Linked DNA regions of Caenorhabditis elegans. The protein of the gene in region 3 interacts with the protein of the main gene of each other region in a pairwise test. Each region holds a gene or a part of one and is shown on either strand. Other genes may lie near its edges. The genes, in order: unc-9, pxl-1 and hum-6.

Region 1 (11,116 bases), about 11 Mb from region 3:
CAGAACGCGTTGGAGAGCTCTGGATTCTTGGAGATGTCTTCATTGGAAGGTGAGCCATATCTTTTCTCAAATTAAACATTGACGAACCCAATGAAAAATCAGGTACTATTCCGTCTTCGATTTTGATCAGAACCGTGTCGGATTTGCTCAAGCTAAGACCGCCGATGGCCGTCCAGTTGATCCAGCTCCACGACCATTCCGTTCTGTCTTCGACAACGAAAGTGAGGAATCCATGGAACAAGACGACGAATAATCAACACGTTATTTTTCTCACAAATCCAGGTTTTTAAAATATTTTTAATTCATTGGCTTTATAAAACACTTTATGTTTAATAAATATTTTTCTATCAACACAATTGAAGGCACATAATCGAAAAATGCGATCATTTAGCGCCACTAAGCAACAGATGGACGAAACAAAATGTCTCCACTGTTTCCGCTATTGCTCGAATCGGTGAGCCATGAGTAGAATTTTTGAGACTCTGTGTGCTTTGTGGGGTCCTAGAAAAATAAATATAGTAGACACATCAAAATTGATAGCAACACTCACCAGTCCTTTTCCTCTTTGTGTTGATTTTTTCGGACTACTATTTCCTGATGTCTCATCTGGCTCTTTCGAGTCGCCAGCTCCAGGTTGCTTTTCTGGATTTTCATCTTCATTTTCTAGAGGTGTTTTTTCCTGAGGATTTTCAATCTTCTCATCTTCTTCATCATCTTTATCTTTTTCATATGTTGAAGGTTTCGGTGGACACATAGCGTATAAACTAGCAAAACACCCCGAACCAGCCCACTTCTGACAGGTCTGAAAAGCAAAAAAACAGACTGTGCATGAAAAATCAGTTGCTTACATTCAAATGTCCATATGTGTGGCAAACAAAAAGAGCTGGTCCAAATAGGAGTGTCATGAAGGTGACCAGAATAAACAAGTAGAGTTTCTGAATTGAATTTTATTAAAGCCATAGTTTCATGCATATCTGGCTCAAAAACAATTAGCGGTTTGATAATTGCAATAAATTAAAATGACGTTTTGCATAATAGTAACAGTTTGTTCATACGTATGATCTAAAAATTCACGAATGGTTTTTATAGTTTACTTCGAAAGTGTAACTTTTTTAAAAATTTCTTTCTATTCAAAACTATAGAAGAACACAAATGTATCCGAACCTGGTGTTCTGCAGCAAATAATATCATAAGCCAAATGCTGAATATATACTGCGAAATCAAAACCAATGATTTTACTGATCTTCTCGCCCAATAGCATTGATAAATATCTTGAGATGGTAGTTGCCGGTCGCATGCAATACACGCTAGTTGCGCTTTCAGCCCAGCTAACGTTAAAATAACCCATACCGGAATCACAAACCCCCAAAGCATATCCACAGTGGAAATGGCAGAACAGCTGGAAATCGATAACGTTTATTATAAAGTCTGAAAGTGTCCCACTGTAAATATGCTGTTCCATAATATTTTTTCTCTGGAAAATATGTCGCTAACGTTGGTCCTATTGCAAGAACAATCGGGAAGATGTAGTACAAAATCCACGGAATACTTCCGTTTTTATCGGATTTTCCATGCACCATTCTGAAATTTGACACTGAAAAACGTGAATATAATTAGAATATTTCACTTACGACGATGCGAATAATGCTTCCGCAAAGAATATTGAAGCTGTCAGGCACATGAAAAAATGATTGAAAATCGCCACAAATTTGCAGATATTCTAAATATACAAACTTCTCTGAGTTTATTTTGTTAATTACTCACTGATTTATGATTGAATACAAAGTTAAGAATACACATGCAAACTGCCAGGAGAATAATTGAAAGTTCTTCGTAAAAGTGTACATATCGTTGGTGCCCTTTATTCCTGAAATGTTACAAATCTCGACTCGAAAAAATACTATCAGATAACTTACTTATGGCAAATATTTACCAATATAGTTATTAAGCACCATACTATTATCCAGCCACCACAAAAATACATAAGGTACTGAAATTAAAAAAAAAGAAATAAATGGAAGTATTCAAACACATTTCAAACCTTCACTATATCGCTCTGGTTATCTGATAAAACTGTTTCATAACATCTTTGTAAAAGGTTATCAGTGATATTAGTTGGTTCGGCAGTTGTTGTAGTGGTTGTTGTAGAGTTTGTGTCAGTAGAATTAGTGGAACTATTATTATTTGACATATTCGACCACACACCGAGCACAAAACAAGAAGAAATGAGTTGCGTAGGATGGTTGGTGTTTGCAAACTGTTTCCCCGGAAACTGGGATCGAATATTCCAATAGCTCTATTGTGACATCTTGTGATGTTTTTTTGAATAGCCTGGTTTTTGGATCTTCTAGTCTTTGCAGAGCAAGTGAGGTTTGTTTCGAAAATGACAGTGAAAAAAGTAAAGAATTCTAATAGATTTAAACATTCTTCAAAAACTTAATTAATTTACAACCTTCAAAATGTCTGTAAATTTTGTGACGGTTTTTATATAGTTTTTCAAAAAAATATATTTTGCCATTTTTCTTTTCTATTTAATTGTTTTTATTTGCAAAGCAAGTATGCTATTTTCCTCTACTATAAAATTACTGAGAAGTAGAATGAAAAATTGTTATTTTATTCATTTTCAAATAATATTAAATAATCCAAATCCACAATAAAATATGGCAAAGTTTGTGGGTTCCGTTTTCAAAACTTTGGTGAAAACTGAACATTGGCAGGTGGATGATGAAGACAAACTGGAAGAAATATGAATTACAGGGCGAGAAAGTTAATTTTTGTATCAAGTGAGTTTGGGGGGAAGGACAAAAATTATCTATATTACAAACGTGAATCCAGGTAATTTGAAAAGACATGATGCCATTTGAAAGAAACCACAGAAGGAAGGAGAAGTGGGAGGATGGGGGGAAAGGGAATAAAATTGGAGAAAAAAATTACAAAAGACTTTTGGGAGTTAATTTTAGAGGAAATTTAGGTATAATAATTTGAAAGTTATGAACATTCATAAAGACAACCGCGTCATTAAAGTTTTGATAAATTGATAATAGAAAATTTGGAAATTGGTAAATAGAATTTACAAAAAAAAAATTAGAAAACAATTGAATTAAATGTGAAATTGACAAAAAGCTCGAGGTGAAAATGACAATGGATCGATAAAGTTTTGAGCAACTTTTTGAAGTATTCAATTGAGAAATTTAAAAATTGATTCAATACAAAAGTTTAAAAGTTTTGGCACTCTTCTAAAACCCTCCAAAATTGTTTAGTTTTGGTTTTCAAGAGAATTATGATGAGGAGGAAAAGATAAGTGAATAGTTTCCATTGATCTGGATGTTTAAATGCAGTTGATGATTCGATATTTTCTAGCAACAGAAAATTGAGAATATCAGCTAAAGACGACTACACCCATTGACGACAATTCTATGATTTTCGAAAGTGAGATTTCATGATCAAAATTTGAGAACTGGTGTTAGAAGAAATTGAAAAAGCTACGAAGTTGGGGTGTGTCACACGTCGTGCATTTTTCCTTCTTTATTGTCACAGTAGTTGTTCCATAACGTTTTCGCAAGCTCGTAACAGGGTAGTTCTCCGGCGTGAGTTGCAACCATACGAAGTAGGAAAACACCATCCTGAAATGGGGTTTAATTTCGGTCAGTGTAAAAGTTATTTCTTTTTTTTTCACAATAGTGCAAATCTAATAAAATTAATTGGTGTTCAAGATACGTATAATTTGGTTGACATTATTGATAGTTATATCAAAAACTTATGAACCGGGAAAGTTCTAACTACTGTATATTATTTGTTTTACTAACTCACGGTGGTTTTAAATACGTCTTTAACAGGATTGCAGTTAAAATTTCTCTTGGAAATTTTAATTGCAGTTTTGTTTTTTTAAGAGTAAAACAACAACTAGCTCAAAAGTTAGCACTGCAGCTTTCATTAATTTTGCCCAGTCGTATTTCATTTAAAACCTATTGTATGACTTCGCGATAGAAGAAATACGGTATGTTTCTTTTCTATATTTCTGTAGTTTCACAGTCATTGAAATTTTTTTCAAAAAATCAATGAAAGCTGTCAATTCGTGAAGAAGGGTGCATATCTAATATGCGAAGTCTGTCATATTAAAAAATCTGCTTAGAAATCTCTAAAATTTCATTTGTTCTATCTTACTCTAAATTCCATGAGCTTTTTCCAATATTTAAAATTTTTGAACATGAAGTTCTTTTGTTTTTCGCCGCACTTCATTTTTTGTTTCGGTTTTTCCAAAGGTTAAATTACCTGTCTTAAAAAGTGAAATACAAAACGTCGTAGTGATTGCGAATCCACCATTTTATATCCCTCGATTCCAGTCAGATACTTTCCAACAAAGTTGAGCTGCCTGCAGTGAAAACATTACGTGAATGAGTCTTTCGTTCACTTTTTGAAAAGCTAATTGAGACAAATGGGTGCACATTTGTTTTTCGTCATGTTTAAAATGTTTTTAACATGATCAACATACCTGCTTGGCACCACTGAAATGTAGATCCAGTAGAAAAGCGAGCACAAAGTAGCACCGGCAAGAAGGAAGTACCAGAACCACAAGAACAGAAAGATCTTCTCGTTGAACATGTTAATCATAAGTACACATTGTACTGTATGTCGGTGCACGTTTCCCAGTACTTTTACTTCAAAGTCACATAACGTTACACGTGGAAAATGACCAGACTCCTCCCATTCTCGTCCGTTCATCAAGTCGTTGAGAACTTGCAGTCCGTACCATTTGCTACGGTTACCGAGAAACGTGTTCAGTAGAAAGATTTGGCCGACGATGTTCACGGTGTACAGAATTTTGACAGAGATATAGAGGAACGTGACAGCAGCACCGGAAGATCGTGTGCAAATAATCAAGTTGAGCAGTTTCAGACGATTTCCGGACATCTGTAAAATTAAAAATAATAAGATTAGAAGAAAAACCGAAAAAATCTGATGATAAACAAAAATTTTCAGAAATCGTTGTTTTTTTTTCAGTTTTGAAGGAGTTCTCCGAGAGGGGTGTGGAGCATCAAAAATTCAGATCTCAAAACTTAGGTTTACGGAGCTTCAATGCTTTGAATCAGATTATCTCTAGAATAGGTGTACCCCGATCATTGATAACTGGTAACTCTATTTTTTTTTTTGCGGAATGTTTTGCGGAATGTAGCTTGAATTGGTTAAAATTGAACTGTTAGTAATGCAAATCAGAAAAGTAAAAAACGTTTACATATATTCTTATTATTATTAATATTATTGGCTGTGATTATGCTTGAAGGTACACAGCAGGGCGACTCAAAGACGCTAGAATGTTTTGTGCGTATTGGGTACTCTTGTGTTTTACAGTTTTCATACCACTTGATGTTTCACGTGTAGCGCTTCTTCTACATTTGTTGCGATGGTTTGCAACGCTCTGTTCCTCGATTCCAAATCCAACAATCTGGAGTCACAAGCCATTTGAACCAGAGACTGCACATGAATTCCTGAAATTTGCCTATTTAGCTTATATATTAGAATTCCTGAATTTTATTTTTTTTTGCTCCCTAAAAAATTTTTAGTCCTAAACAACAACAAGCAAGAAGCTTTCAAAAAAAAAGAAAATTTATGTATACTCCCTCGAGGTGAGAGAAGGAGAGGAAAGCTTCGAAGCGCTTGAGGCGAAAAGTATCGACGAAGGCCCGCGCATTCATTCCGCGATATTTTTGTTGTTCTTCTTCTTCACGCCGTTCTTGACGCTTTTTCTTCGTTTTTTTCTTGAAAACAACAATTTTGTTTTTTGCTATTTGGTAGTAGGCTGATGCTTCGGACCTCACGTCACATATTTATGTGTCTTCCTGGATATATTTTTAGGTAATGCAAATTCGTTCAAATTGCAAAATGCATCCACTACACGTTTTATTATTTTAATACTTACAATACAAAAAGTAACTGGTAAAATTGGAGACTCTATTTTGCAATCGAAGTACCTACCTGATTGCCAGCTGAGCAGTCTCCATACAATAGTCGGCACATAGAAAAGAAGAGCTTCAAGAGCTAACACAAACGGAACCCATTGATAATACCTGAAAAATTGTTCGTTTTTTAATGAGACTCTTAGATTAACAGAGCCTAACCCGATTTGTCGATTTTCACGTTCTGCATAGTTATGTGGAATGTAGTCGTGTAAAGGGAGAAAGTAGGTGTTTTGAACCCAACAATAGTTTTCCGTGTACTGCTCCATGGGCTCGGTGAACGTCGCAGGTACCCAACATTGGATTGGAAAACCTAGAAAAGGTTTGTTGACAGTGAGAATATGATAGAAAATGTTTGGTCTTACCGACATACTGTTTAGCAGAGACGAGAATCGCGAACACTGAAAATTAAGAAATTATTGGAGAAAAATTCATTTATATGGGAGAACGGGAGATAGATAATATGAACTAGAGACGTGTTTTTTTATGGCTTCAAAATTGCCATAATTAATGTTGAATTTCTTTTTCAATGTCTATTTTATCAAATGATTTTTTGATTTCAAGCTCCTTCAAAACATTTATTTCAAACTTTTTCTATTTCAATACTTCCCAACGGTTCAGAAACACATGCTTGATTGGAAACATCTTTGATCAAAAATGTAACAAAATGAAAGGGAGAGCAAGTCCTTGGTCCTTGGTTAATGGGTACTAATTCATGAAGATTTATTTTCATTTTAAACCTTTTCGGTTCTCTTTCATGTGTTTTTTTGTAAACCAGTATGCTATGTTTCATCAAAAAGTTTGATACATTTTATTTAAGAAAAGAATACCTGTGATAATGGCTGTGGTGTAATAGTAGTTAAGCTTGTCAATAATGTCATCATCGACGTGAAACTGTATTGACTTCACAGCACTCGCGAAATAATACAATAGCATACTCATCCTAAGTCATGTCGTGACGGCGCCCGTAGCGCCTTTTCCGATCTGAAAAAAAAATTTGATGTAAGGATATGACGGGAAAACAAGAGATGAAAAATACGGGCAGAAATGGAGAATGGATGATGTTCTAGTAATTTTTGTTTGAAAACATGTCTTGTTCGGACATTGGAAGGGTGCGAAAAATGTGGAAAACAGGAGCTGGGGAGCCGGAGGTGGTGGAAAATAGAAGTGAACGACGGACGACAACGTCTGTTGATGGCAGCCAGGTCGTTCTAATTATGCATTGGAAAAAAAAAGAAAAAGCGTCGGGAACAAGGAATGGCGAAGGAAGGGAGAAACTTGAAGGAGAAAAAGGGGAATGGCGTTTTGCTGTTGGAGGATTTTTTTTTCAAATTTTGAAAAATTGAATGCGACTTTTAAATATTTTTAATAATTGAAAGGCTACCGTGAGAATTTTTGATTTTTACAAGAAAATGCAAAGCAAACGAAAACAAAACAACTAAGGCAAAGTTCGGGATTCTTATGATTTTTTTTCCCATTTTTTGAAACTAAAACTTTATATTTGTGAAACTGTCAAAAAAAAATTCAGTAAAACCTATCGTATTTTTTATCAAATTTAATGTTCGATTCAAACCTACCCATATATCGTGGCCTATTGTTCTGATTTGTGGTCATCTTAAACAAATTTTTTAATGAAAAGACGATAATTTGAAGAAAATATCATTTTTAATGTTTAAAATATGAAAAAAGTTAACATAAAAGCTCCAAAAGAATATTTATGCAGCAAATCAGAGAATCCCTAGTTAATAGCAATTAAAGTATACATTTTCTACATGCGTAATACAAATTTATCTATATTCCGAATGTTCTTTCAGAATCTAAAAATTATCTTGACAGAGTCTTTCACAGGAATCTATTACTGACATCCTGAATTCTAATTAAGAAGCTATTGTATGAACCTACATTTTAAAACGAAAAAGGAATGGAGCAAGAGCAAAAGTTCAGGTGGACTCAACTTGTAGTTCACACTAGAGTTGAACTCTGCCAGGACCAAAGAAGAGTGCATGAATTTCAAATCAGGAGACGGGAATTGGCGGCTTTGTTGCCGAAATCTCAAGGTTTTACAAAACTTACGAAAAGTGCCATCAGTGTTTCTAGGTTAAAAATTGTCCTGTCGCTAGTGGGATGATGTCAGTCAATCCAAAAACCAACTAGCGCGTTTCGCGATTATATATTTTTGAAAAAAGCTGTGTTCAGATGAAAAGGTACAAAAATTCTAAGAAAATCCAATGAAATCTACTGAAAATGGCCGAAAAAAAAAACAGTTCAATTCTCGTTAAATATCTTGATAATTCAATTCCGTATTTCAACCAAACTACTTTCACAAGAACATTGGAAACAATTAAAACCATAACTCAGTACAATGGGAAATATCTATGTGAGGCACCTTCTAATAGTAAAAAAATTTACTAGCCTGCTCGAGAAAATGCATACTAGAGAGACAGATAAAGAGAGAAGGAGGTCTCCTGGCTTACTCCACGTTTTCTTATTCCTCCTCTCGCTTTTCTTTCTTTTCTTTCGTCTTCCACGAATTTTGATGGCCAATTGAAGAAAACGAGAGAGGGAGCCGGGGACGTGGAGCGAGTGGACAGAGAGCAGTGGGAAAATGAAGACATAGACAGCCCCACATATATACCCGAAAACCACACGGAGTAAGAAAAAAGAAAAAAAAAGAAGAAGCATCACATTGGCACACTATTTTTCCTTCCTTTTCTCTCATTTTCCTTCTGAATTTCGCATCCAGTGAAGAGAAGAGGGTCCCTTTTTGTCCCCTTTTCTTTTTCCTTTCTTCTGTCTCCTGTGGCTCTGTCCCTGAATGACGTGATGCACTGCATTTGCACAAAAGCTGATGGAGAGAAATGAAGAATGACAAAAAACGGATAAAGATGAAGACATTGGCAGAAGAAAACAACGGCTGCATAATTAGTGGTGTGCATTGAAATGTGAAAAAGATAAGAATGAATATGCATTTTTTTTCTTCCCCATCTTATTTCTTATTCTGATCCTTCAATTTTTTCCGTTTCATTAGCTATATTTGCACAGAAAATTTCAGATAAATAAACAAAATATTGCGTGATAAGGTACGGTCAACGTACTTACATAAACTTTTTAAATAAGCACCTACACGTACTCCGTGCTTGTAAAACGAATTTGTTCAACCTAGCAGAGTTGGAACAATGTGAGAAGTCATTACGGAATAAAAAAAAAGACTCAAATGATAGATCACACCGGAAAATCTAGTGAACAAACATTAAAGGGGAACCTGATCTGTTTAATTATTAACTTTGAATACTAAAATAGTACGAAAGTTATAAAATTAAAAAAAAATCATAAGCATCTTGCTTTATGTGAAGCTCGAATCTTACTTTTGAGCATTGATTTTAACATTTCAAATATTTTTTGGAAGTTTTCAAATTGACTGTCTCTCTAAGCAATCGATTCCCTTGCAAGTTTCAAACTATCACTAATTGAAAAACTGAAAATTATATCCTGATTTACTTTTCTTCGTAGAAAGGTATTTTCTTGAAACAAGTCAGAAAACCAGATTTTTAAGACCGAACCATGAAAATTGTTCCCATCTTCCAGCTCTCAATTTCAATTTGTAGTAGTCTCGTCGCATGAGCGGAAAAAGTAAAACCTAGCGGAAAATAAGAAAGGAAAGAGTGCTCAAGTCTGAACCTCGACCACCACCTCAAAACAATTCCTATTCGTTGTTTTGCCGCCCGTTGCTCTCTCGAGACTAACTAATCAGAAGAAAAATAGAAGCGAACCTATTATGTATAAACGATTTTTCTCCTCAGAAAACGAGTATATGTGTGCTTCGCCGCAGTAATAAGTAGGAGAGTTGCTCTCGGTCTTCTAAACATTTTCGGGTAGCGGCACAAAGTACTGTAGTATGAGAACAAAAATTGAGTGAAATTTTTTTTTGACAAACCGGAAATGGGAAAGGACTTCTGACAATGGGGCCAAGGAAGTTACACATTATATTAAAGCAGCACACGCACATGCACAAAAAAGAAATAAAAAAGGGGAAGAAACAAGTTGTGAAGAGTGAATAAAGGAGCATATACACATACATACATACACAAAAGTTTTTTTTTGGTATAGATTGAAAGGAGGAGGGGACCAATGGACCTGGTTGGACGTGGAAGATTCTAAAGTGTCGTGTTGCGGAATTTTGCATACTCTCTCTCCCTTCCTCTCTCAATTTCTTACGCTTTTTTCCAGTTTTCTCACTGAGCTGTGGAGTTTTCTCCCCCGTTTTCCATTGCCGTTGGAGAAGAAAAAAGGAGACGGGCCACGCCACGGCGGCGGCGGCGTCGACGAGAAGGACGACTTCAAGAGCCAAAATCGATGTTGTAGAAGGACTCGAAAAAAAAATGAAAAAAATTCCAGGTTGTTCGTTAATTCCAAACGTGTTGTTCTAATCTTTATCAAATACTGAAAAGTTAAGAGTAAAATTTGGAAACTCTGAAATGAAATGTCGAGCGGCTGAAATACACAAATAGGATTCTGAATTATTTTCAAGTATTTTACGGTATATTTATTAAAATTGACAGTCAACTAATATTTTGGCAATAGACGGTAAGGTTGCAATTCTCAATATCGGCTGCAAACTTACCAAAAAGCTTCACAAAGGTGCACTACACACTATCAGCTAAATTTGTACACACTGAGCTTGCTTTTTGTTACACAAATATAAAATTGCATGAAAAAGATGTAGGAACACTTTAGATCGGTCTAAGCTACAGAAACATTGGCATTTTCAAGTTTAAGATGGAGTAATCTTATATGATTTTTTTTGAGGTAATATATATGCACATCCCGAAAAAAAATGTAAGCGATAAAAATATGCTTAAATTTGCTGTATTATTCGCCTGTTAAAAAAAGGCTGCACCAACTTTTAATGACCATGCGCCACGCGAAAACAAGAACAAACAATATAACCAATTTAATTAGAAAAAATGAAAGTGAATAACAATAAGTATAGGACAATATCAACTTCTTTCAAAATGACATGTTTTATGTCTCAAAAAATAGAATAGTGGAAAAGGAGAGATTAGAAAAAAAAGAAACGAGGGAAGGGGCTCTACTGATATTCTATTCAATTTCGATGAATTTTCAATTAATGTTAGGAAGACAAGCAGAAATGGAAGTAGAAA
Region 2 (12,188 bases), on a different chromosome or scaffold from region 3:
TATACGCTAGGTTCTAGTTTAAACTTCGTCTATTATCAGAATTTGGCAATACAAAATTGTGTAAAAATGTTTTAATTTCAAGACAACATATGCCCCTCTATTAAAATTTGAAATCACCCCCAAAAAGGAAGGTGTGTACTGCGTTTTGACATTCAAATCTTTCAATATTCACAAAAGTTTAATATTTTCCAAATTTTTTGCATTGTTCCTTGTTCCAATATGTAAAAAATATTTATTCTGTGCAATTTAATTTTAACTGCAAGAGGTGCATGAAAACTGGAGGGAATATTGTAATAAGATAAACTCTGGAATTTTCAAAAACATGATCAATTTTGAATATTTAACATTATATGTCAAAGTTTGATACAAAATGCATACCAATTTGATGTGTTCTTCTCAAAACCCACACTTTCTTCGGTCTCAATTGTATCCTCTCTTTCTCTTTTCCTTCTGTTGTACTTCCTTCCCTTCTACTTCATTCTCTTTTTCTATAAAATCTTCTCTAAAATCGTCGTTTTCTTCTTCTTCTTGATCATTTCCGCCCACCTATCACTTTTTCCCTCATGATGCCCGCTCACTTGTTTAGCAACACGAACAGCTGTGATTTGCCTCTTGCCACTGATTCCAATCACTTTTCTCCTCAGCTTTTTCTATTGATATTTCAATTTTTGTTTCATATTTTTGATTTTTTTTTCTAAATTTGGCTCCGCCCATTCATAGATGTCTGTGAACTCCTTCCTGCTCCGTATAGAATTATTAAAGTTTTAATGGTATAGAAGAAAAACTAAAAATACAATTCAAAGTGTTGAATAAAAAAATAATTTATATATCTATGTGTCTACTTACCGTCTATTTTCTGAATTTTTTGTTTGAAGATTTACGAATTTCCCCGATTTTGGTAATTTCAAATTATAGAATTAAATGTGAAATGTTCGCGTACAAAAACGGGTGTATACAAGCTGGCATTTTTTACCTACTTGCCTTAAAAACTTGAATCTTGAATACGGTACGTGGTCCCGAAAATAAAATTGGTGACCGAATTTTCTTACGGGACAGTGTAAAAAATTATCCCATATTTTAAGAATTTATAATAATTTTGTTTTCTAAATTTTCCACAAATTCCGTCTTCCACAACTGATCCCTAGGTACACTCTCCTTTCGAAACCTACTTGAAACATTTTGCAAACTTTTTTTCTGTTTGAATTACGATATGCTCGTATGTGTCTCTTCGGATCTCCATGATCTTTTCAAAGTCATTTCGATGGTTTTATTTATATCCGTGGCGGCGCAAACTTGTCATCAAAAAGTTAAAGCATGCGGTGGGAGGCGAGAGACACTCTTGACGCGTTTTTTTGTTTTACTGTGAGCAGATCTCTTGAGTCTCTTGGAGACTTTTTTTGCTAGCTTCACTAACTATTACAAGACATTTTAGAGCATAGTTTTCTTTCTAACCAGTGGAGAGTTTTATCTAGAGTCTTTAGAGCCAGTACCATTAATAAATTTCATCAATTGTATAGAGCCACATTTTTAGAAACTGTATCATTTTTAGATCAACCGTCGTACTTACTATCTTACGGCAGCCGTTTAGTTACATTTCAATCGAATTCAATTCGAATTCCCTCAAGCCTGTGTACATCTCAATCTCTTCCTCCCGCTCATTCTTGATTCAAAAACAAAAACTTTGCCTCCATTTCTTCCCGCTCTTTTCTATGTGTCGTTTATGTGTCTGTCTCTGTATCTCTTTAACTTTCACACTATTTCCTTTTATCGTCTATCTCTTCTCTTTTTTGAAGAAACTCCTAAAGATTAAGGGCCAAGATCATGAAGAATTCCCATGTTCCATTTTCTAGTTTTTCCTTAAATCAAATAATATTCTGGTAAAATAATAGTTTCAAGAAGTTTCAAGAACTTCCAAACAACTTTCACAATATACCGTAGAAATTCATAAAAGTTTTGACATTTCTCATTTTTCATGCATGATTGGCATGTTCCTTTAGTACTCGATCCGGTTTCACAACACCGTTTAAAATGTGATCTATTCAAACGGAATATGTGATTTCAATGTATCTCTTGTCATAGGGAGACTTCTGCTACTTGGCCGAGAAAAGGGATACCTCGGTCATCGCTTTCTTTGGCGGTCATGTTGCTAATAATTTATTTAGATTTTCCAAAAATTTTTTTTTTCGAAAAAGAGAGATTGGATTACTAGATTGGATTACTGATTTGACTTTCAAGGTTTTTTTAAATATTTCCTCGTTATCGATCCCTTTTCCAAGTACCAATTATTTCCAGCAACCTGGATTATTTTCTAATTAAATTTCAATTCAATTAGCAAAAACATGTACTAGGAATATGTGTAATTGAAAAAACTCTTAACGAACTGAATTGCATAAAACCATTCCTATATGTTGCTAAAATGTCCTAATATCATAGAAAACGGTTCAAATGTTTTTTTAAAATAGTGTAGTCAAAAAGTGGCTAGTTCTCACCTTCTTAATTTTGGAATTCTACAAAAAAGTTTTTTTTTCACAATTTTAAATTTGAACCAAAATTATCTTAACACTTTTTCACAATTAAACTAAGTTTTCCTATTGATCAAGCTTTAACTAATATCAAAATGATCATTCCTATTCTGAGAAGCAAATTAATCAAATTAAAATATATGGAAAGTAGACATATCTACATTAAAAAATTTTTTATGGGAAAATAGACACTTCTAATTTAAATTTTTTTAATGAAAAGTAGACACTTCTACTTTAAAAATTTGAGAGGTGAAGTGTCTACTTACTATTAGACATCCTTTTCAATATTTTAAAAACTTAGGCTACTGGATTATTTTCTGAGGATTCCTCATCAAACTGTAATTTTTATAAATAAAAATTTGTATTTTTGTTATCCAGATGCTATTCTTTTTTCAATGTTTTGTACTTCTTTTATGTCATCTCCATAAATCTTTTTTCCTTCTCCTCCTCTTTCTTTCTTCCTTTTTTCTTTTTTTTTGTCGGCTTCTTCATCGTTTTTTGTCTTCTTCCTCCCACTTTTTTCCACTCACTCACACATATTTTGACACATTCTCTCACATTTTTAGTGGTCCCCATACACATGCATACACACTCATCTATTATTGCACTTTTCCTTCTTTTATACACCCTCATTGGTACCGTTTTTTACTATTTTGAACATCTTGTTGTAAATTCGATCAATTGATAATTTGTTGATTTTCCGAAACTTGACTAAGCCGTCGGGTTGCATTCTGAGGTTCTGAAATAACTGAATTTTGGACTTTTTATAAAATCCAATTACATTATAACTTCTAATAAAGCTCTTTCGTCCGCCTTTTAATTGTTTTTTTCTTGATTTTCTCCTGAACATTTTTTGAATATTTCAGTAAGAATGCCAAGCGACGATCGTTTTGCGGATGCGGTTAAACCAGCTTTAGGTACCCAAGAACTTTCTAATGGAGGCTTTCCGGTGGAGAAATGCTCCCAGTAGTAGTCGTAGTACTAGTTTGGAAATTATGAGTTTTTTGATTAATGGGAAACTTATTAATATTTGGATGGAATTATCATAATTTTGAAAATTTATATGATTTTCATACTTGATAGTTTTCAATAATAAAATTCTTAAAAAGTGGGTTTTCACTTTTCAATTTGAAACATTGAAGAGTTCAAATTCTGTAATTGAAACAAAAAATAAATAAATATATTATTTTAATTTCAGAAGCCCTTCTATCGGATCTTCAACACACCACAGAAGTGCTCCGCCGTGCTCATATAAGTGATCGCCGCTCACAGAGTCGTGATGATTTTGAGCAATCCTATGATCTTCAGGGAAATCTTAACACACAGAGGTTAGTTTTTTTTTAATGTTACAAACCTTTCCATACATGTTTTAACATAAACTAAACATCTAATATTTGTGTCAGTGTGAGCAATGGAAATATAACCACTTCACCCTACAAACGTCGTTCGTCAGAAGGAAAAGATTATTCAAAAAGTCAGGAAAGGATTTATGGTTTGTTTTTCATGTAAAGAACATTAATATGTAATTGTATCTGTAGAAAATGAATCAAGACTTAACCCACCAGTCTATTCACGTCCAAGTGTCCAAAGTCTATTGTCTCAAGTCGAAGAACCACCAATTCGAGCAAGCAGGTAGGAGAAAACGTTTTTTGTTTTTTTGAAAACATTTTTATCTTCGGAGTCATATTTTGAAATTCGTGGCCTAGAAAAACCTTTTAAAAAGCTATACTATGAGTCAATTTAAATATTAATTTCAAATCTTCTGATTTAATAATTTCAAGAATCTTGCGATTAGGATTCTTAAAAGGAAAAATTTAAAAAATTTTGATTGGCACTTTCAAAAAAATCTGTAAAACATTAACATCTTACATCTGAGAATGCGAAAATATAAATCAATGGCCTAGAACACACAAAAAATGTTAGACCAACAATTCAGAATTTAGAATTCTATTAGGCATTTTAATTCGAAAATTCATAATTTTTTGTAGCCTAGAAAGTTCACTTAAGGCCTCGACATTTTTATAAGATTTGTTGAAAATTGTTAATTTTTATATCAACATTTTTTGTGCATCTTCAAAAAAATTGAAAACTTATGTATATCACGAAAATTGGTTCAGATATATATTTTTTTAATTTCTAAAAGCTTTCCAGACAACAAAAGAAAAATGGCCTTTAAGTTCCAAAAATAGCTCCGAAAATAAAAATGTTGAAAATATAAAACTAGAAAATTCCGATTTGAAATGGTCAAGCCCGTTTATCAAAATGCCAACTCCGTGTTCCATTTTCCCGCCGGCTCTTAGGTCATTTCCCGTGTTTCTGCGTCTAAAATCCCGGGAACAAACAAAAACTCAAATGTGAAGGGAAGAACGAGAAAAAAGACTAATAACATACACGCATATTACTTCTACTCGTCTCATCCCGTGTCGCAAATCATCTCTTCTTCCCCGGTACAGAGGAGGAGCCGGTTATTTTATTTTTCACTGAGTTTCTTCGTCTTGCTCAGTATCTCTTGAGCTCAACAGGGGTAAAATGCTGTAGGGCGGGAGAGTACCTACTCTCTATCAAGTGAGAAAGAAAAATATAGAGAAAAGGAGCAGCACACCTTTTTCTTTTCCACGCACACAACACTTTTACCTATCACTTGGCGGAATGATGCGCGAGTTGCAACAACGGCTTGACCATTTCAATGGTCCAAATTATGCACAAAATAGTCATTCAAACCACCAACAACATCATTCGGTTTATAGCTCACGCAAGAGTCTCGGACCACCAAGTCAGGCACAATCCTACTCTGATGTCGTAAGTTTTTATTTCTTTTCGGGGGGAGCTTCTGGGAAGGGAAACTGAAATGTTTTCGTTGGGAGACCTTAATTAAAAATGTCCTTAAATTAGAATTTTCAAAATCCCAGAATCTTCATTAAACTTTCCCAATCTCTACAAATCTAATTCCGGATATTTCTGTGTTCACAAATTTTAAAACCTAATTTACTGATCCTGAACGATATGTATTCAACTTAGACGCAAACTTTATGAATTTGTAGTTTTTCCTATTTTGGTCACATGACTACAAAGTAGAAAATTCGGTCATTCTTTTAAAATAAAGGTTTCTTGAAATTTTTGGGACTTTTTGAAATAAAAATAATTTCAAAATGTTTTTTGAAATATTCAATTTACTGTCAAAAATTGGCAATTACTCGGGTTTTGCCACTGGTAATTCAAGAAATCCACCAGAATATTATTTAATTTTTGTTCAATTGTTCTAAGTTGACCATTTCTTGACAAAACTTTCAAAAATCTCAAGAAAAAATGTAGAGTGTTTAAATATGGTATTAGGTCATGATGGACTATTACTAGTATGGTTTATCAAAATCCACAATTCTTTCACTTAAACGTCATTGCTCCAATTTGAAAGATCATAAAAGATTTGGCAACATTTCACAACATAGTCTCCTCATTTAATTTGAATACATTGCTCATCTTGCTTGTTTTGTAGGATTCCATTAATCCCAAATGCAAGCGTATCCCCATAAAATTCAGATGCTCCACTACTTCCTCTGCTTCTTCTTTTCCCTTATTTTCATGTTCTGAGAGCAACTATTTGTCTCCCTCGTTTTCGTCACATTTTTCAAAAACTTTTCAGTTTCATATTTTACAACATAGTAAAAGGAGAGGAAGCAACAAAAAAAAAACGAAAAGTGGAGCGAAATTTCTGTTTGTAAAACCTTCTTTTATTGCCGCGTGGCTCTTTCTTTTACGTGGAAACACGTGCTAGAGAGTATGTGAGAAGAAGAGACACAGACGAGCTCCACGAGCAAACAGTACGGGGGGCTTCTAGAGGTTGAAGCGGGGGTGTAAATGAAGGTGAAACGATGGGAATAGAGAAAGGGAGATATTGTTAGCTTTTCCTTGGTTTTTGATGAGAAACCTTTTGGAATGAGGTCATATGGAACGATTTTTAGTGTATTTTGATGACTATTTGGGAAGGGGATCTAAATTTCGAAATTACAAAGTTCGGGTTTACAGAGGATAAATAAAAACATAGGGAAAATACTTCCATACCCCGCTATCAAAAACAGAATGACCTCGCTAAAAATACGCCGCGGCAATTTTACTAATTTTTCACAGAAAGTTTCCAAAAGCATTCTAGAAATGGATTTGTATACTTTTGTGTGGTCTAAAAGATCATTACGTAAATTAGAAAATAAAAATTACCCCGTTTTTTTGGCATATTGCACCTTTTCTGTTGCCACTTACCAATGTTCAGTCATTTTTCATTTTATTAGTTTTTCAGCTTACTTTCCGACAAAAACCTTTTTCCATTAACTATAAGTAAATATGCCAATTCCAACAAAACATACACACACAAACATAAATTTGTCATAATGGTCTCGCAACGAATGAAAACACACATTTCCAATCGTTGCCCATATACATAAAAACGTGGAACTTATAGAGATCGAACGGTCGGTCTCCATCAAGAGACCCACTGCATTCGGATTCAATGATTGGAACAATGAATGGAGAATTGAGCTCAAAACATGGAGTCAATACAATTCCAAAAGGAGATTGTGCTGCCTGTGGAAAACCGATTATTGGACAGGTGAGCGTTTTAATAAAACAATTCTAGAATATGTGAAAAGTTCTAGGATTTATTAATTTCGCTGTGTATTACTGTTTGGCATCCTGAAATTTAATTCTGATTAACTGTGACGTAGGACAGTTCAAAATAATGTTCTCGCGGTATTTAGTTAAACTACGAGACTCTAGAAATTTCCTCAGAATAGTTTTAAAAAGAATTATTAAATTTCAACTTTGGAATGTCCAGAAAATCAAATTTGAAAAATAAAACCATTTTTCAGGTCGTCATTGCTCTTGGCAAAATGTGGCATCCGGAGCATTACACTTGCTGTGAATGCGGTGCCGAACTTGGACAACGCCCATTCTTTGAGAGAAATGGACGTGCTTTTTGTGAAGAAGATTATCACAATCAATTCAGTCCAAAGTGCCAAGGATGTCATCGAGCCATCACTGATGTAAGTGACGTTACAAAATTCTTAGTCATAAATATTTGGTACAATTGGATAATAGTGAATACAGAATATTGTGCATGATTTGTAGTATTTCCAGTTTTGAATGTACAACGAAAAACGCCGATTAGTGGAGTTTTGCAAAAATTAATGTGGACACAAGTTTAATAGTGTTTTTTTTTGTTAATCATCTTGAATATATTTTCATGAAATAAAAATGATTAGAGAAACAAAATTTAAGTTTCCAGAGATGTGTGAGTGTAATGAACAAGAACTTCCACATTGAATGCTTCACGTGTGCAGAATGCAATCAACCATTCGGAGAGGATGGATTCCATGAGAAGGTTGGTTAAAAAAATCCGTTTGAAAAGCCTTTCAGTTTACACTTTCAGAATGGACAAACCTATTGCAAACGTGACTTCTTCCGTCTATTCGCCCCAAAATGCAATGGCTGCTCTCAACCAATCACCTCAAACTTTATCACCGCTTTGGGAACTCATTGGCATCCGGATTGTTTTGTCTGTCAGGTATTTTTAGTTCATTATCATTTGTTAAACAAGGAAGTCAATTCAAAAATTAAAGAAACCATCGAAAACCGATTGTGCGGTATGTTTCTTGTCGGTGTCTCTCTATTCGTCTATTCGTTTCGTTTTTTTTTTCTTACCCCTTTTTATTTTTAATGAGTGGAGCAAATTGGCTTGTGTGAAGTGCCAGAAAATATTATAATGAGAGGCTTTTCGTTGATAGTATGCTGCAGTGATAGAGTTTTGTGGTTTTTTTAATAGTAACATTTGAAGTTAAAAAAATAAAACTATATAAAACTAACTATAAGTGTTAGGTTTATATATTTTTAATTTTGAGCCAACTGACTGAGTTCACATGGGACCTATAAAATGTGCAAATTTACAAGTTTGATTGAACCTTCCAAAACTTCATATTAATAAAAACCTTGACCCCTAATATATTTTATAATACCATTAAAAAAGATGTTTCGGTTTTTCGGTTTATTGTATCTTTCCTTACCTAGTCGATATAGACATAATTAAGCATGAAATATTTTAGAATTATTCCTTTAGCTGTAGTCAATAGTTTTATTTTTGGAATAAAATATTATTTTTATTTTGGTGTGTCATCTGTAAACTTCCCTAAATATATGTGGATTGTTCTTTACAGCATTGCGGAGTTTCTTTCAATGGTGCAAGTTTCTTTGAGCACAACGGTGCTCCACTCTGTGAGCGACATTATCATGAATCTCGTGGTTCAATCTGTTCTCAATGTCGTGGAGCCATTAATGGAAGATGTGTAGCTGCAATGGGAAGAAAGTTCCATCCGGAACATTTTAGATGCTCATATTGTAATCATCAACTGACAAAAGGAACATTCAAAGAAGTTGATCGTCGGCCATTCTGTCATAAGTGTTATAATAATACGTATGCATTGACTCCTGCCTAATCTTTTTTTTTCTCTTTTTTGTCTCTCCTGTCTTTTTGTGGTTTTTCAAGTTTTTTGAAGGTGGTAACTGGAAAAGATAATTCAGTAATAGTTTAGAATATTAGGCTTGGATGAAATCGAATATAATATTTTTCTCTTTGAGATTTTCTAGTTCTCTAATGCCATACTTTTCAAAAATTTAAGTGTCAGCTAGCCTAAATCCATAGACTTCAGCTTGACATACAGGATTAAGCCTAAGCCTAAACCTATACCTTAACTTAAATTCCAGTCTACTCAATTCAAAAACCTTCCACCTTACCACACGTCCATTGTATAAAATATGAAAAAAAAAAGTAAATCAATTTTCAAAAAAAAACCAAAATTTTTATTAAAATTTCTACGCATTTCAAAATCAAAATTTCCTCCCCACCGCCATATCAAACTTTTCCCCCAGTCACTTTTTTTCTCAACTTTTAATTGCATTTTATCGGTCCCCCCACCCACCCTCCTTTATCTTAAAAAATGCTCAATTTCATTCAATACAGGGCAACACTCACTTCGCACAACAATGCCCAATGGATGTCACTTATTTTGAAGAGGAAAATGCTTATTGATATATTTTTCCCTGTCTCAATTTTGTTTTGATATCTAACTACCTGCTAATACTTTTTAAATTTTTAAATAAAGTGCGATTTTTTTAATTGGATTTTACTTTTTATAAAATGTTTCAGGTGACAAATGATTTTGATTATTTTGTAGACGATTTTTGTGAAGTTTTTTTTAGTGAAATAGAGGTAGACCTTTTTAATTTTAAATATTTTCAAAAGTCAAATTGAAACATGCATTTTGCAAATTTGAAAATTGAAAAAAAAAAAAACTAAAATAGTCACTGTCCAAAAAATTGTACAAATTATATTTGTTTGAAGCGTGGGACGGCTAACGGTAACATCAATTCTAAATCGGCGAACTTTGTACCGTAATTAAACTAACTAAAAATTAGATCAAAAGATTTACAAAAACGGGGGAGGCACTTGTGTTTGCAGGATGCTGAAAAACTGAAATGTTTGTACAGATTGATGTTGGAATTAATTCGAAAGGACACAAAAAGGCAAGTGTAGTTAAAAAGTCTAGTCATTCGAGGAATAAATCTTTTTAACTTGGAAGCTTTCAAACGACAAGAATTATGATTCGAGTTATTACAAATGGTAAGTTATTTCCTATTTCTGAAGACTGAGCAGTGGTGGGGTGGTCCACAAAACTTCAAAAAACTCTCTTAATTGCGCATTTGTAATTGTTTAGCTATTAAATTATGAAAAACTATTTTTATAAATTTTATATTAAAATAATAATTTACCTATACTCTCATTGTTCGGATTTCTCATTTAAAATTTAAACAAGTAGGCAAGAGTAGTCAAGGATTTTAGAGTTTTTGCTTCTTTTTGGTCATCAAAGGGAAATGCAACTACTGGTGAAACTTTAACCGTACTAATATTCGAAACACTTGCATAAGTTCGGAGAACAGTTTTATATTTCCGAAATGTACCAGAAAGTCATAAAAACGGTTTTTAGACACGCTTTTTATATTCTACGAAAATTTGTTCAGAACCGTCCTATATGGCTTCACGGTGGATGCACAACTTCAAAATGTTCATAATCCTATTTTTGTGCTTCACTGTTCTTTTCATGTTGTTCTATCCAGATTATAAAGTGAGTTTTGGATATTTTTTCATTTGAGAAAAACACCCCAGGCAACGACAAGTTTTTAGTTTGTACCAGTGATCTTTTTGAAACTTCCTTGAAATTTTATCAAAAAGAGCTTCCTTTAATTTTCCGGATGCAAAAGTCATGTAGTTTTTATATTTGCCGAAGCTACCAAATTTTTTGTTTTCACGGCCATGTTGCAAAAGTGTTATTTGGCACTAGGGTGGGGTACGGTAAATACATCTGTGGTTAGTAGCTACTCAAAATTTGTTCTTCCTACCATTGAATCTTTACAAACTGATGTTCAGGTACACCAATTGAGTTCATATAGTCGTGAAACTTCGCTTCCAATCACCAAAAACAGGCGCTTCTTGGAAGCAGCCGACGAATGGAAACAGTGCTTTCAGGAGAAACTGAAAAGGAGCAGAACCGATCCAAAAGAGGTTTAAATTGAACGATGATCCTGATATGACGTCATAATTTCAGATGTGGTACTGGGTGAAACGTGTGATTAATCAATGTAGAAATGAAACTGCATTTTCGAAAATCGAATTGACTGGTGTAAAGAACAAAGATGAGATGAAATATCATGTGTACAGTCCATCTCAGGTTTCTCAATTCCACCACAAAAAAACCAATTTAATTCAAAATTTGCCAGGAACCAAGTGTAGTAGTAACTCTTGGCATTGGTTTGGATGTGAAAGCAGAAACAACACTCAAGGAAACACTTCCGACGAATTCCCGATTCTATGCCGCCGATCCAATATACACTGGAAACGGAGAACTTTACGAACCTGTTGGGTCGTATTTCCCATTTGCTGTGGGAAAAGAAACTGATGTCTCGACAGCGTTGGTGCTTAAGAACCGTTAGTTTTCTTCAAATATTTATAGATTCAGCAGCCTAATGTTTCTAGAGGCTCACGTTTTAAATGTAAATTTTGGGCAGGTTCAGGACTTGACTCAAAGGTGAAATGGATTTTTTATCAATATATTTCTACCAATTAAAATATAATCAGACCTTGACTATTTGTTTTTTCTCACTTTGAAGGTAAGCTCACTGAGAAATATGAACCATAGACGATAAGCAGGCATGTAGGTTTGCCCACCAAATGCAACATATTTCGAGCACATGTGACATGTTCGAAGAATCATTTTTTCTACCACTATGAAAGCTGACTAAATATTGACCAAAGCTACTAATTTTTTTTGTAAAAAATTTTTACAAAAAAAAATTAGTGATTGAATCTCAGGGAAATATATAAATCAAGTGATGCCCCACATTGACATCATCACTTTCTTCAAAAAATTCGTAAAGGAATCCACGATAGATCAATTTTTGATGGACAATGAGGGACCCGAATACGATATCCTTCCGATGATGGCTCGCGGAGCAGAATTCGATCAAAATGGGATAGTAGTGTGTCAAATGAACACAGAGGTTCATCAAGCTGACGATGAACGGAAAGCAAAATTTTTAAGCATAATGAATACGATCATTGAAGATGGG
Region 3 (9,149 bases):
CTAATGGGTTTCGTTCCCCCCGAAATGTTTTAACTTTCTAAATTTCAATTTTTTTTGTAGAATTGTAGAATTTGTAGAAATCAATGCTTTGTTTTGTGCTTTTTTTCTACGTTTTTAATTCGGTCGCAGGTCGCAAAGCGACCCAGGTCGCTAGGTCGCAGGTCGCAAGGTCGCAGGTCGCAAAGCGACCTAGGTCGCTAGGTCGCAGGTCGCGATGCGACCTAACCCTCTAGGTCGCAGGTCGACATAGGTCGACCTATAGCCACCCCTAGGTACAGGCGTACGAGAGTAGCGCCCTCGTGGAAGGCTTAGAGTAGGTATTGTGGGTATTTTGCTTAATTATACTGAAACTTTCTTAAAGCGACCAAACTTCGTGATGGGACTTCTCAAAACATTTCGAAAAATGTTTTATGGTGGGTCAAAATTTCCAAAAAAAAAAGAGCTGAATTTTCCTAATGAAACTGGGATTTTGAACTAGTTTTAGTATATTACGGGACCATGAGGTCATGAGAATGCCTCTTTACTGGCGCGAAAATATTTGCAGGCCGCGGCAGCAAGATAACATGTGGCGAAGAGAGACGCAGGTCCCTTCGCTACGTGATATTTGCCGCCAGAAAAGTAGACATTCTCATGATATCGTGGTTCCATAAAATTCATACAATGTACCCACAATCTATACTCCTCACATAAATTGCCTAAACTCACTAATTCCTCATGTGAATCCGAAATAACTGAAGCAGTGGATGAAACTTCTGTGAGTGGTGCTTTCTCGCCTCGTTTTCGCTTTTCTCCAACCTGACGACGTACTAGAGACCCGCGGCATACAGCCTAAAATTGACAATAGTGTAAGTTCCTATGATTATTATCTAACTTGAAATTGGATGATTGTCTTTCGTAGAGTTTGATAATGTGACACCAATTGTCTCGAACGCAAAACAGCCTGAAGGCGTGAGAAACCGGAAATAATCTGACGATATCTTTTCCTTTGGTCAAAACCTCTCCATGCAGTTTGAATGGTGACAGCAGCTTGTCTTTGCTTCTCAAAGTCTTTTCTCACTAACCATCTCCTGACATTTTTCTGAATAACAATTGCCTTATCCTTCAATATGCGGTAGTACTCTTGCTCCAGAACCAAGTCGTGTTTATCTTTCAGAAAGACTTTAGTTTTTCCAAGTTGATAGTCAGCATTTGTTCCAAGAATCATGTGGCAAATTTTTTTGGCTGCATCGTGCAAATCGATCCTGTTCACTGGTCCCTGGATGGAAGAAACTAAGACACGATAACGGAAGACAAATGGATAGTAGTCATGACGAATCGGATAACCACTCCTTCTGATTTTGATAGTCTCCATCATTCCGGAATAGCGAAGCTGTCTTAATACAAGATCTCTATCCATCACAAGTGCTCTCTTCATCTCATTCGGCTTGATGCATCTGATGAAAAATGGATGTGTTTGAGTCAACTGGGACATAAGTTGCTCCAACGATCTTCGGAATTGATTTCCGACGGTCACCTTCTTTCTGGAGCTTGTGTCGTATTCTATGTCGTCGAATAATCGAGCAAGGAATGGCATTTTTGATGAGGAAATGAGCACGGACAAGTCGGCTGAAAAGGAATCTCGATTCTTTTCGAGGAAACCTCGTGTGTTGTAAAACACATTTCCAGCAAAATGAGTGACTCCAAATGCTCTCTGAAGCTCAGATTTTGGCTGCAAATAGAGCTCGTTTCTGCCATGTGTTGAATGAAGTTTGAGCAGCATTGTCTTATCAGTTCCTTTTGGGAAAATACTTTCCTCATCAATAAGAGACAAAATATTCAACGGTCTCTGAGCAATCAAATCGACTGTAGCCTGATTATCGACAAATTTTATGTGACGCCAGTTAATGTGCTCCTGCAATGTTGAATAAATTTTATTTTTCAGATTGAAATATGAAAACTACCTCATCATACTCCTTCTGCTCCATCTTAAACACATGGTGAACAAAGAATTGTTGTAATGTCTCATTTGCAAAGTTAATGCAAAGTTGCTCAAAACTATTACTTTCAAAATTTTCAAACCCAAAGATATCAAGAATTCCGATAGATGTTCTTCTTGACTGCGACGGTCTTAAAAATAAATTTCAAAATATTTTTTAAACTAACCTAACTCACTTGTAAATTGCATCGTTCACTCTTCTAACGATATGAATGAATAATTTTCCATAAATTGCCTTCGCAAGGGCATCTCTTGCATCGACGGCTTGTTGACCATTCAATCTAGAGATCACTCGTTCTTCGCGCGTTACTAAGCTTTTAGTAGTAATTGCGTCAAGAAGATTTTGCTCGTGGAGTTGCAAAAGTTTTGCAATTCTGACAAGAGTTGATGGATCGGCTACATCAACTGATTCCATGTTGTCATTCGTATTCTGTCGGAATCTGATGTTTCCAATATGAAGAAGAGATGCCAAAAGTTTGAAGATACTTCCAATTTCTTGCTCGTTGATCATGAGAACTCGCATTGCGGATCGGATTTCAGCCAAATCGGCAGCATCATCACGGCCTTCTGCTGTCAGTGTTTTTCCCTAAAGTTCAATTGATGTCGACGAGTCAACCTTTATAAAGCTTACTTGAATCAAATAATAATAATCAGCAGCTGTTCCTAATTCTAGCTCCGACTTTTCTTCTCTGGACAGTCCTGCCAACAAACAATAAAATATATGGTAATTTCTCTCATTCTCTGATTGAGTAACAATTCTCGATTTCTCCAACAAATATTGTTCAATTTTCGCTCCTAAAACAATACATCTCAATATGTTCCCACTTGTCAATCAAACCTTCAATAGATCCACTCTCGTTAAAATGTACATCAATGTATTTTCCAAATCGAGACGAGTTATCATTGCGGATGGTCTTCGCATTACCAAATGCTTCGAGAACCGGATTTGCTTCTAGGACTTGCTGTTCGATCCAGCTGTGTTGTCCACTGATTGTTGCCAAAAACTGGAGGACCAGTTTTGTGGATTCAGTTTTTCCTGCACCAGATTCGCCACTGAAAAAGAAAATTGCTCAAAATTTTCGTTTTTTTATTTACTATGTAGTCTGGAACTCCAAAAAAAAATTTGTTGTTGTAGTTTAGTTTAAAGATGAGAGTGTTTGCTTTAAAAAGTAAAAAAAAACAATGTTTTCAAATTTTGAGCGCTTTTAGATGGTAAAAGTGTGATTTTGGCGTGAAAAGTAACTGAAAATTGCAGAAAATTCAGAATTTTCAAGATAAAAATTGGCTGAGAGTTTTCGGAGTTTTCAAGTGGAAATACTTCAGGTTTTAAGTTCTAAAGTTTATGGAAAATATTTTTTGGGTGGAAATTGTTGGAAAATGGCTGAAAAAATTAGAATTTTATTGGTTAAACTTGAAAATTTTAAAGTAAAACTTGGGACTTTTAATAAGAAAACTTGACAATTTTTCAGAAAATTTAGATTTTAGTTACGAAGTAAAAATTCTAATTGTTATGCTACTGGAGAGGCTTTTTCTGTTTTTTTTTTAAATAATTTTTGTGAAAAAATGCTCCTTGTCTAAAAAACGAACCTGATAATGACAGATTGATTTTTCTTTTCCCTCCTCATATTTGTATACGCATTATCAGCAATTGCAAAAATGTGGGGTGGAAGCTCTCCGATTCGTTTCCTTTTGTACATCCGAATCTCATCAGCTGTATAGATAGCAATGTCCATATATGGATTTACTGCTATCAAAATTGAACCAGTATAGGCCTAAAATTGTCTAACTAACTTTTTGCGATATTTCTTTAATTGCTTACATAAATAAGTTTTTCTCTGTATCTGATAAATAAATTTCTCAAAATCGCACTCTCATGAAAATCGCCCAGCTGACACATGTCTTCCACACCCTGAACTGATGTCGGATGCATCAGCCTGACCCGTCGATCCGCCGATAGCCATTGTTCCTGAATTGTACTTTTACATTCTCTCCCTCAACAAAAATTGCAACACGACCACCGCGCAACTTATCAAATGCGTGATAAAATGTTAATGTTAAAGAGATGCCCGCAGTGATGCGAAAGTAGGAAACGGATTGAGGTCAATGTTGCGGTATCAGTGAAAAATGTTCAAAACAGTGGTGTCAAAACGTACATTTCCAAGATCGTCAATCACTTTCAAACGTCCATGGTCTTGGTCGATGACGCGTGCTCCAATTGGAATCGATCCCTCTGTTTTTCCGGGCTCAATCCAGATGAAGTCACCCTGAGAAAATATACTACGTAATACAAGCGGCTGAGCAAATAATATTGGATGGTTACCTTGCTTACTAATACCATTGTTGTTGATTTACAAAGTCATTGGAGCACAGATTATCTGAAAAAACTGATTTTCGTTAAGGAATATCTTTTATAAAATTCAAAACGATTCAAGTTTCAAAGATTCAAAGAAAAATTAACCAATAAAAACGTGTGCTTTCAAATACTTGAAGGCGGAGTACCGAAATCTGAGACTTTGCCTTTTTAGACCCAAAATGACCCAACAATTTTTTTTTGATTTTATCTGAAAATGAGCTTTTTTTGCAGAACTTTGAACAGCCGTAATTTTTTTTTGAGAAATTTTCAAAACGTCTCATTACGAAACTCGGTTGTTTTGGGTCGTTTTAGGTTTAAAAAAACAAAGTCTCAGATTTCGGCACTCCACTTTTAAAATGGTTCGAAGTCAAGAAAACATCATAATTTTAGCTAAAATCTCAAAATTGTGCAAATTTACCGTGTCAATTTCCGGCTGCTGAGAAGCAAAAATGCTGGGGAAACTGGAGATTTTAGATGCATTTAAGTGAATATTTTTGAAGTATTGAACCGCCATAAAATTATTAAAAACATTTATTGGAAAGTTTTGTTATGAAAGTCTGTTTTTGAGCCATTTTGAATCTAACAAAGCAAAAAAAACTAAAAAATTCAGACAAATTATAATCATGCTCTAAAAGTTTTCTTCTACTTATACTAGTATGATATTAAATTCACAAAAAAAGTCAAGAATTACCTATGTATATAGAAGTAATAAAAACGGCAGGCAAATGAAATTTGAAATTTAAATCAAAACCTTGAACAAGATAGAAAGAAAGATAAGAAACGCTTCAAATGAGTACAGCGCTACAAAAAGAACATATGGTATTCAGTAAAAGTTGGGAGCTACATAGCTGAGCAAATGTACTCAAAACAGTCATGAACACGAGTTTATACACAAAATATGCATAGGTTCAATAAGCCGAAAGTACACAGAAACCCGCAGGTTTTCCGAATAAAGACGTTCGCCGTCTGTGTTCGGATTTTCTTTCTCTTTTACACATTCTTATTTGTTGACAAATGTATTGGCTGGGGAGAGAGAGGGGGCCCGGGGTCTGCAAGTGATGAGTCCGAGCGACTTTTGGGGGGGGGGGGGGGGGGGGGGGGTTTGAGAGAGAAACACTGTGATATTTGACCACGGTTAATCCGAAATGCGCGGACTATCTCTCCGTCATCTTCCGCACTGTTTCTAACAGCCGCTCCTCCGGCCGCAATTGTCTTCGGTCAAATTAGCTAGCCAATACTATTTTCTCATTTTCTTTCTCTCTTTATCGCCTTCCAAATAAATGAGGTCATCTTTAGAGAGGATTACATAAAATTCTAATTACTCAGATTTTTAAGATTTTCAAAAGTTCATTACAATAAGGGATATCACATTCACATTGCAATATGTCAAATTAAAAAAAAAACTGAAGTGCTGAAATTTTATCAGCCCCATTGCTTCAGTTAATTGTACTAAAAAAACCCGATGAATTGACAAAAAAAAATACACGACAGCAAGCCCAGCTGGAACGGGGAACAAAAGCACAGAGAGAGAGCTTTTTGAAATAAACAACAAATATTTGCATTTCTTATGTATAGATGGACAGTCAAAATTGAGGTCACTCAAAGAAATGAGATAAGCTTGGGCAACAGCGGCCTAACAACTAGTATCCCTATATGAGACCGGGAAATGTATGACTACACCAACTACTTGTTTCGATGCAAATTGCATTCTTCTTGTAATGTTTCTCATTCTTAGCAGATATCAGGAAAGGAATGAGGATGATAATGGAATTAGTTTTTGATGGGGGGAGATGTGATCGAATGAAAGTGATAGTTAGAAAAGAGTGAATGAGGGAAAATCACTGGATGAATGCAATTGAATAGGGAAGATACTCTCACGGCACTTCATAAATCAGCTTGAAGCATCATTTGCCCAACTATAGAATATTCATCTTTATTATTAGCAACATATAATTAAGACACATTTTTTGGCAAACGTACTCATATGAAATGTCACAGTAGATGCTCCAAATTGGAAATTAGAACGTGATTTTTTTTAGACAAGTACAACTTATGGGGATAATATAAATTAATGTTTTATTGATATGAAATGAAAAATAGCTGCGGTGTTGAGTTTGTAAAAATTTTAATCCAAAATTTTTTAAAGATCCTATTTTTTCCCTTTAGGAGTTCGTTATGGTTTTTGTTCAAAAATTTGTTCTGAGATCATTTGATTCGCAAAGAAGCTTTAATTAGACTTCAAGAATGTTTTTGCTAAAAGCTATGCCACAAGGTGAGGTTAGTTTTTGCCACTTTTTTGGAAGTCGTCGATCATAGAAAAGTATTCCGTTGAGTTTTGGGGTCTACATACGTTTCGAATATTAATATACAAAACTTTAATTTTAAATATTGTAGGCATTGAAACATGTTACAGTGCTGTAGTTTTTTTCCCAAAAATTGACAAAAACTCTGTAATTGCCACTGTCAATAAAAGTTTTTCAAACGTTTTTTTTGAAAAGTTTTACTATGACTTTGGCCATTTTGGCACCGCTACTACACCTATAAATACCGTTTTTTCTGTTGGAAATATAGCTGCAATACTAATTTTCAGATCATTTTTTTGAGCTGGGGCTTACTAGTTTGTACTTGAAAGATTTCCAGTTTTATTTGGAAATTTAGAAAATTTACTTATAGCTGCAACAAAAATGTTCATGAATAACTTCAGTTTCATAGAAATTTTGTGAAAAATTGTTGCAAAACTGGCAAAAAAATGTTGTCAAAATCTTAAAATTAGTGAGGCTGGTTTGCACCAAAAAAATAGACGCAGGACTGTTAGGGAGTGCAATACTAATAGGAAGTGCAAATCTAATAGGGAGACCATACTGATAGAAGAAATACGGTATATCAAAAACTTTGCGTGCAATATCATTGAATACAGCATGCAACATTTCAGCAAAAACTTTTTGACTAAATTATGGTTTTGAAAAAAAATTAATTCAAAAAACGTTTTTCCGCATTCCATGTCGAGACGGCTAGGGGGTATGACATAACGATACTCCAAAAAACGTGTTATCTCCACTTGAGTTTTTAGGAGTGAAAATAAGAAAAACATTGATGAAGCGGAGAAGGTGGGAGGAAGCAAATATTGTTCAGCAAAAAAGAGGAGATGCAGAATAAGCGAAACAGTTGTTTAACGCCATAAGTGGACACTACGGAGGCCAAAAGACACAACGACTGTGGAAGAGCCTAGCCGATCCATTGTTTCGCCACCGGTGCGCGGCTTTGTGCACTTGGCCCTGGCGCTGGATTTTGACAAAAAGCAACAAGATGATCGATCATGAAGTGGAATTGTGGTGGGGGTGGTCGTTTGGCGAGTATAGTTGAAGCTTTCGTAGTCGGAAGAGTAATTGGATAGGTAATCGGATATGGTCCTTATTATATATGTTTGCCAGATTAAGAAGTCTCGAGACTAAGTGAAATTTTCTGGAAGAATGGAGAAAGGGAAGCAGTGATCAGCTGCTAAAATGGAGCAAAGCTGATAATATGGAAATTTAAAAAAAAAACACCTAAAATAATCTTTACAAAGTTGTAAGTTCCAAACAAAAAAATTGCACAATGTCTTGAAAACTCTATCCGCCAGATAGAACACTTCGAAATGGGAACGGAAGCTGGTCAATGTAATGCAGTCATCATGCGCACGGTCTGCGTGTCCGCGCGTTTTCGGCTCACTCACGGCTTTCCGGACAGCTCGCGCGAAACCGCGCACAGAGCGAAAACCCAAGACGACGGCAAGCCGGGGAAAACGACAAAAATAGCTCTCATATGGATGACGGTGCACAGGAGCAATTGTATTTGCTCTGGATTTTTGTCATTTCGGACCAGTCAAACTTTTTTTTGCTGGGAGAAACGCAGGGTTAAAAGGAAAATGTCTAGATTTTGAACCGCTGTCCGAGATCAATATGTTTAACGGAAGATAAAGATCAAGTTCAAAACATTAAGGTTAAGGTTTTTGGATGTGCCGATTTCAAAATGACAAAGTAAGAGATAGTAAAATAGTAAAAACGTTTCCAAATAGGAATTTAATTTTTAAAGCTGTTAAGAAATTGCATTAAAATATGGATATTGCGCCAAAATGACCAATTATCATATGTAGTAAAAAGTTCAAAAAAAAATTATGCATTTTATATTATTTTTTTCTAAAATTGAAAAATCTCATTTTCTGGCACTTTTATTATTAATGTAAAAACATTGTATTCGTTGCGGCAGTGCTATAGTTTTCTCAAAAAGCGGCAAAAACTCAGTAATTGCCACTTTTTGAATATTCAAAAGTTTCGAAAAAATTTTTTAAAGTTTTACCGTGATTTTTGGTTATTTTCGCACCATAAGAGTGAGTTAAGTTAACAATTTAGCGCTACTCCATCTTGAATACTTTTCAAGATGGGCAAATGCCAAAACAGTCGAAAGGTTGTCAGATTTTTTGGAAATATCCCTCAAACAATTTGGTAATTAATCAAATTTACAAAAAATTGAATTTTTGGAGTAATTTAGAGGTTCAAATGTGATTTAAAGTAATAAAGTAGTCATTACGATGTCAGAAACAAATATTGGAAAAAAAATCAAACTAACAAAATTTATTTTTTTTTTAAATTTTGGTGATCGATTTCCAAAATTATAAGTTGCAAAAACTAATTGATTTCTACTTTTTCAATGCAAATAAAAAATACTTCAAAATTTTTCGAGAAGTTTTGCTATGATATTTAGAGCAATTTTCTCCACGTTTGAACTAAAATTATTTTAAAAAAAGTAGCTCACTTCAAAATGTTTCCGATGTGAGTTTACGCA

What was found.
Region 1: the proteins of hum-6 (region 3) and unc-9 interact in a two-hybrid assay, tested with the Caenorhabditis elegans proteins (one study listed by BioGRID).
Region 2: the proteins of hum-6 (region 3) and pxl-1 interact in a two-hybrid assay, tested with the Caenorhabditis elegans proteins (one study listed by BioGRID).

What each region holds. Positions count from the first base shown.
Region 1 is NC_003284.9:13,208,212-13,219,327, reverse strand, and holds unc-9 (Innexin unc-9), read right to left. Parts: upstream 6,939-11,116; 5' UTR 6,897-6,938; coding exon 6,785-6,896; intron 6,356-6,784; coding exon 6,320-6,355; intron 6,268-6,319; coding exon 6,117-6,267; intron 6,066-6,116; coding exon 5,974-6,065; intron 5,487-5,973; coding exon 5,359-5,486; intron 4,912-5,358; coding exon 4,493-4,911; intron 4,373-4,492; coding exon 4,273-4,372; intron 3,624-4,272; coding exon 3,501-3,623; 3' UTR 2,603-3,500; downstream 1-2,602. Other genes in the region: asp-4 (Aspartic protease 4), read left to right, coding at 1-49, 103-253; R12H7.4 (G_PROTEIN_RECEP_F2_4 domain-containing protein), read right to left, coding at 397-501, 551-802, 849-935, 1,165-1,399, 1,444-1,581, 1,632-1,720, 1,765-1,867, 1,917-1,990 and 1 more. UniProt on the Caenorhabditis elegans protein: Structural component of gap junctions. Plays a role in maintaining gap junction activity to promote locomotion.
Region 2 is NC_003281.10:5,887,212-5,899,399, reverse strand, and holds pxl-1 (Paxillin homolog 1), read left to right. Parts: upstream 1-3,388; 5' UTR 3,389-3,393; coding exon 3,394-3,439; intron 3,440-3,720; coding exon 3,721-3,850; intron 3,851-3,925; coding exon 3,926-4,014; intron 4,015-4,060; coding exon 4,061-4,154; intron 4,155-5,113; exon of another isoform or gene 5,114-5,171; coding exon of another isoform or gene 5,172-5,269; coding exon 5,270-5,321; intron 5,322-6,975; coding exon 6,976-7,122; intron 7,123-7,381; coding exon 7,382-7,555; intron 7,556-7,797; coding exon 7,798-7,893; intron 7,894-7,941; coding exon 7,942-8,076; intron 8,077-8,722; coding exon 8,723-9,001; 3' UTR 9,002-9,127; downstream 9,128-12,188. Other genes in the region: C28H8.8 (uncharacterized protein), read left to right, coding at 10,625-10,687, 10,990-11,124, 11,168-11,290, 11,340-11,547, 11,932-12,188. UniProt on the Caenorhabditis elegans protein: Required for myofilament organization of the pharyngeal sarcomeres and for pharyngeal muscle contractions and hence for pharyngeal pumping. Together with lin-8, might be required for myofilament organization in the body wall muscles.
Region 3 is NC_003284.9:2,298,285-2,307,433, reverse strand, and holds the start of hum-6 (Unconventional myosin heavy chain 6), read right to left. Parts: upstream 4,353-9,149; 5' UTR 4,314-4,352; coding exon 4,296-4,313; intron 4,240-4,295; coding exon 4,129-4,239; intron 3,942-4,128; coding exon 3,795-3,941; intron 3,748-3,794; coding exon 3,563-3,747; intron 3,029-3,562; coding exon 2,814-3,028; intron 2,771-2,813; coding exon 2,607-2,770; intron 2,562-2,606; coding exon 2,152-2,561; intron 2,107-2,151; coding exon 1,941-2,106; intron 1,892-1,940; coding exon 872-1,891; intron 829-871; coding exon 706-828; intron 1-705. UniProt on the Caenorhabditis elegans protein: Myosins are actin-based motor molecules with ATPase activity. Unconventional myosins serve in intracellular movements. Their highly divergent tails are presumed to bind to membranous compartments, which would be moved relative to actin filaments.